Kluyveromyces lactis: one gene and its partner. Each later gene encodes a partner of the first gene's protein in a complex. Links are inferred from orthologs where the notes say so. Each region holds a gene or a part of one and is shown on either strand. Other genes may lie near its edges.

Evidence for each region.
Region 2: the proteins of COX3 (region 1) and COX7 are in contact, whole or in part, in a cryo-EM structure (PDB 8DH6), measured with the Saccharomyces cerevisiae proteins. The link is inferred for Kluyveromyces lactis from reciprocal best matches to the Saccharomyces cerevisiae genes COX3 and COX7. Residues at the interface, in NP_009328.1 of Saccharomyces cerevisiae: Met18, Pro19, Ser20, Pro21, Trp22, Val25, Phe28, Ala29, Ser32, Leu35, Ser36, Leu39, His42, Gly43, Tyr44, Ile45, Gly46, Met50, Leu53, Phe56, Val57, Thr60, Ser61, Leu64, Arg67, Asp68, Ala71, Glu72, Thr74, Tyr75; in NP_013983.1 of Saccharomyces cerevisiae: Ala2, Asn3, Val5, Leu8, Gln9, Phe12, Gln13, Leu19, Trp20, Arg22, His23, Arg25, Ser26, Tyr29, Leu30, Phe33, Ile36, Phe37, Val39, Ala40, Val41, Thr43, Pro44, Leu45, Tyr47, Ile48, Ala51, Gly54, Ile55, Lys56.

What each region holds. Positions count from the first base shown.
Region 1 is NC_006077.1:37,120-40,057, reverse strand, and holds COX3 (cytochrome c oxidase subunit 3), read right to left. Parts: upstream 1,520-2,938; coding exon 710-1,519; downstream 1-709. Other genes in the region: VAR1 (ribosomal small subunit protein), read left to right, coding at 2,253-2,938. UniProt on the Saccharomyces cerevisiae protein: Component of the cytochrome c oxidase, the last enzyme in the mitochondrial electron transport chain which drives oxidative phosphorylation.
Region 2 is NC_006038.1:767,827-770,051, reverse strand, and holds COX7 (cytochrome c oxidase subunit VII), read right to left. Parts: upstream 801-2,225; coding exon 612-800; downstream 1-611. Other genes in the region: ubiquitin-protein ligase PSH1, read right to left, coding at 1,153-2,225. UniProt on the Saccharomyces cerevisiae protein: Component of the cytochrome c oxidase, the last enzyme in the mitochondrial electron transport chain which drives oxidative phosphorylation.

The DNA of each region.
Region 1 (2,938 bases):
TAAGATATAAAGAAGAATATAAAACATAAAAAAAAACAACAAAACAAAAATAAAGAGAAAATATTACAGAATAAATAATTAGGTAGCATCTGTGTAAGATAGTCTAAAGGGAGATAATGAAATATAAAGAATAGTTAATGAATAAATATATATAGGAAAATAAAATTTAATAACAATAATAAAATAAAAAGAAAAGAATAATCAATATTAACAAAAAGAGAGCGAGGAAAAAGATATATAACGATTATAAATAAAAAACTAGTGTCTTATTCTTAGAGTTAAGTACCACTTCGGATATGAGGGATAATAAGAGGAGGGGGGGGGTTTTTTTTTTTTTTCACCCTCCCCCCCCCCCCCAAAAAAAAAAAAAATGATAGTACGCTACGAACTATTTTTTTAAAAAAAAAAAAAAATCCCCCCCCTCCCCCCTGATGACATTGGGCTTGTACTTCATATTATTAATAGTCGTCATAATAAATAAATATATCTAGGACACATTATAATATATTTGACGGGGGGCTTTTTAGGATATACTTGGGGGGGTGCCACGGGTAGTTCTAATTCCCCGGCAATCCTATTTAGGATTGCCGCGGGCAATACTTATAATAGTATTATATTAATATTATATTATATATTTATTTATATATTTAATATAAAAAAGGTAAGAATATTATTGTTTAAAGATATTCTTATATATTGTACTGATGAGTTATACACCTCATCAGTAGAATACAATATATAAGAATAATCAAATGATATCTAAAATATGGCAGTACAACACTGTTGTTTCATAACCTACATGATGAGTAGCTGTTAAATGATAGTTTCTTAATCTTCAATAATTAATACCTAACATTGCTGCTAACATAACCATATGTAAGAAATGTAATCCTGTACCAGCATAGAATACTGATCCATATACACCATCAGTAATTGTGAAAGTAGCATTAGTATATTCGATATATTGACAAGTAACAAAAATAACAATTAATCAGAATGTAATTAATAATCCTGATAATGCATTTTTTCTATTACCACCTACTAATCCATGATGACTATATGTAATAGTAGCACCTGAAGATAATAAGATAATAGTATTTAATAAAGGTAATTCTGTAGGTTGTACAGCTTGAATACCAACTGGAGGTCATACACCACCTAATTCAATATTAGGGCTCATAGCTGAATGGAAATAAGCTCAGAATAATGCAGCGAAAATTAAAATTTCTGATACTACGAATAATAAGAAACCTAAATTAATACCTTTTCTAACAGCAATTGTATGATCTCCTAAATATGTTGCTTCAGCAATAATATCTCTAAATCATAATGTAGCACTTAATGTTACTGTTAAAATTGATAAATAAATTAAATACATATGTCCAATATATCCATGCATAGTTAAAGCTAATGATAATGCTAATGACATTAATGCAAATGATACTACAATTGGTCATGGTGATGGAGCTACTAAATGAAAGGGAAATTGTTGATGTCTACTTCTTTCTAAATGTGTCATAAATATTTTTATAATCTATACATTTATAAATTTAAATGTTAATTTAATTTATAGAAATAATATTACTTAATATATATATATAATATATATATATATGATAATATTTATATTTTAATATAATTATTATTATATTATACTTACTTATAAACCCCATTGCGGACTCCCCCCCCCCCGAAGGGAGGAGTCCGCAATGGGGAAAAGTTAATTATGAAAACTATTTATATATAGTATATTATTAGTAATATTAAATATATATCTAGTATCGCCAAATACCCCTATAATAGGGGTATTTGGCGATTAATAATTATATTATTATATATAATAGATCTATATAAATAAATACAATTCCCCGGACGCCTCGTCCGACCCTACGGTCGGACGATGGCGTCCGGGGTTTATATATCGATTCCCCCCAATCTCATAATATGAGATTGGGGGGGGGGGAAATAAAATAGATTATCTCTTTAATAATAATTATAAATAGAATATATTATCTTACCCCGCGGATCCTCTACTGGTATTACCAGTAGAGGATCCGCGGGAATTTATCTCTTTCCCGCGATATCATCATATGATGATATCGCGGAATATACATAATTTATAAAATATATAATAAATATTTTATTTTATATTTATAAGTAGTAAATATAATAAACATGTTAAATTTTTTAATAATTTAATAATAATATATATATAGTTTTATATATATATATTATACGATCAATATATATAAATAAATATAAATACAATGAATAAACATACAACAAATTTAAATATTATTAAAAATATTAATAATATAAACAATTTAAATTCTATAAAAGAATTATTATTATTATTAAATAATAAAAGATTAAATAGATCTTTAAATAAAACTTATATTTGAGATTATTTAAATGAATTAAGTAATAAAGGTGTAAAATTACAACATTTAAATAATATTAATTCTTGATCATCTCAAATTTATAAATTTAATAAAACTGAAGAAATTAATAATACTATTTATGATAGATTAGTAACTAAATTATTAACAAAATTATTAGTATTAAATATTAATAATAAAATTTATAAATTAATTATTTCTAAACCTATCTTTGAACATAGTATTAATAAAGTTAATATTAAATTTTTCTATTATTTATCATATAAAAATATTAATAAAAATATTAATAATAACAATAATTTAATTAATAATATTTATAGTAATTATAAATTTAATATTAATAGTAAATTAATTAATTTATTAAATAATAACATTAATAGTATTAGTAATATTTTATCATTATATTATAATAAAGATGTATCATTTGAACCTATTCAATTAAAATATAATTATATGAATAGTGATATTTTAGCTAAATCATTAAAAATTATGAATTCATCTTCTAAAAGAAGTTTATCAATGAATAGAATTAAAAATTT
Region 2 (2,225 bases), on another chromosome or scaffold:
TTCAATAAGGACTTCTTTACAATTTTTCTTTGCACTGAAATGAATTTTATATTGAACTAACGAATACAATACCACGTAAAAGGGAACACGGTAGCTACCAAGTGCTAACGGACCATCAAATACGCCGAAAACACTCAGATCAGGGTGATATAACGTACTGTCCGGAAAGTCTTACTTAAAAATATATTATAGTATTTTATTTTTAACTTATTCTTTCTAAATAATAGTGCAACAACTTCGGAGTATTGTGACCATGAATAAAACCACGCATACTCCTTCGCTAAAGCGCCAATAATAAATTGATTAATATAAAGATTGACTGGAAGTCAGGATTCAACACTGGGTGTAGGCCATTCTTCCATTTCTTGACCTGGTCTTGGAATTAAATATATATATTTGAAACAAACAGATTTCTCAACAAGAGAAGCAAAGAACATATCTTCCTAATACTGTTGCTGTGCATTTTCGTTCATTCGTTCGCTCTTTTAACATGGTAATAACATAAGGGAAAGTGAATATGGGATATTTTTGGACGTATCTTGATAATAAAATAATTAACGAAAAAACCTCTCGGGATTTCATTCATTCATTCATACACAACGTAACAGTTCTTAGTTCTTCTTAGCCTTAATACCCATGATAGCATTTGGAATGTATAGCAATGGAGCAACAAGGGCCACAGTAAACAAACCCCAGAATGGGTACAAGTAGAAAGCCGATCTTGGATGTCTAGACCACAATGGCTTAGAAGAGTGTTGGAACAGCTTTTGTAGTTCAATAATTTTGCTTGGAGAAGGCATCGTTCAATGTTTGGGGCTATGATTAAACAAATGTATTGGCAATCGATGAACAACAAACAAAATATACAAATACTATGAATCAAATCGAAAACTGTATTCACCAAGTGTAAACTAACTATCATAACAGTTTATTTCTTCCAAAATTTTTTTTAATCTCAGTATCTGATATTCCCCTACTGGCTTTCGAGTGGTGTGAAAATTCAACTTCCCTCTAAACAGCGAAAACTCCATAGGCTGGGAAAAGATACGGGGACATTCAGGGTAACTGCGGGGTTGTTGCACGTGATGGTGGTTTACACGTGACTTTTAGTATCGTTAGAAGGTTGTACAAGGTGTATATACGCTGTTATTGTTACTCATCAGAGTCTAGGACTATGAGACGTTTCTTACGCGCGGAGTTGTTGTTGTTGTTGTTGTTGTTGTCTTGACTATGAGTGAGACGGATGGTGTGCGGTTCTAGTTCGTCGTTACTAGTACTTTCGTCAAGGGAGTCACCACTCGCGTATCCATCGTCATTATGTTCGTAGAAATCACTGTCGCGAGATTCGTTGTCATCGTCATCTGAGAGGGCAACAGATGCTCTACGGAACTTCCGTTCATCTTTCAATTCTTGTTCCTCTTCCTCTTCTTCTTCTTCTTCTTCCTCATCCACTATGAACGAATCTATCGATCCTCTATCTTCCTCTTCCTCCTCTTCTTCTTCTCCATGCATAAAGTTCCTAGGCCGTCTTGTGGGCCATGCCTGGTCCATCTCTGAACTGAGACTCTCATCTCCCTCTTCGGCTTCCAAATCGTGCACAGTACGTGCACTCTCGGCTCTATAATTGTCCAAATCTCTCTCAACCTCTTCCAGTTCTCCGTCAGAGTACTCATCCACATCAACTTCGTCGAAGTTCTGTGCACCCGCATTATAATTCCGTATCGTAGCATTGCAGTTAGGACACACGGGACCCTCAACTTCCCATTGGCAATTGCTACACCTTGCTATCCCATCGTCATCATCGTCTATGATGGCTTTGGCAGTATTCTTAAACACACTGTTGAATAGCGTTTCTTCCAACAGGTCAGACTTGTATTCAGCAACGGAGCATTCTCTTTGTGTGAGCAGTGATCGTACTTCGGAGGAATTCGATTTCTGTGGGTCCTCCGCTGCTATATCTAGCATCAGATCGACTATTTGTTGTAAGGCAACGTTCAACGATGGTTCATTGGTAATCACATTTCGACATTGCGGACACGTTAATTCTGATACGTTGGATCGATTGTTGTTCAACCAGTTATTCAAACATTCGTAACAATAGTTGTGTCCACAGCTCGTCATGACTGGTACAAACATATAATCGTGGCATATCGTGCATACTGTGGAATCAAGCACTCTGCCCACGATTCGTAAATGATCCGCATTGGATTTTTTCGGTATAACCG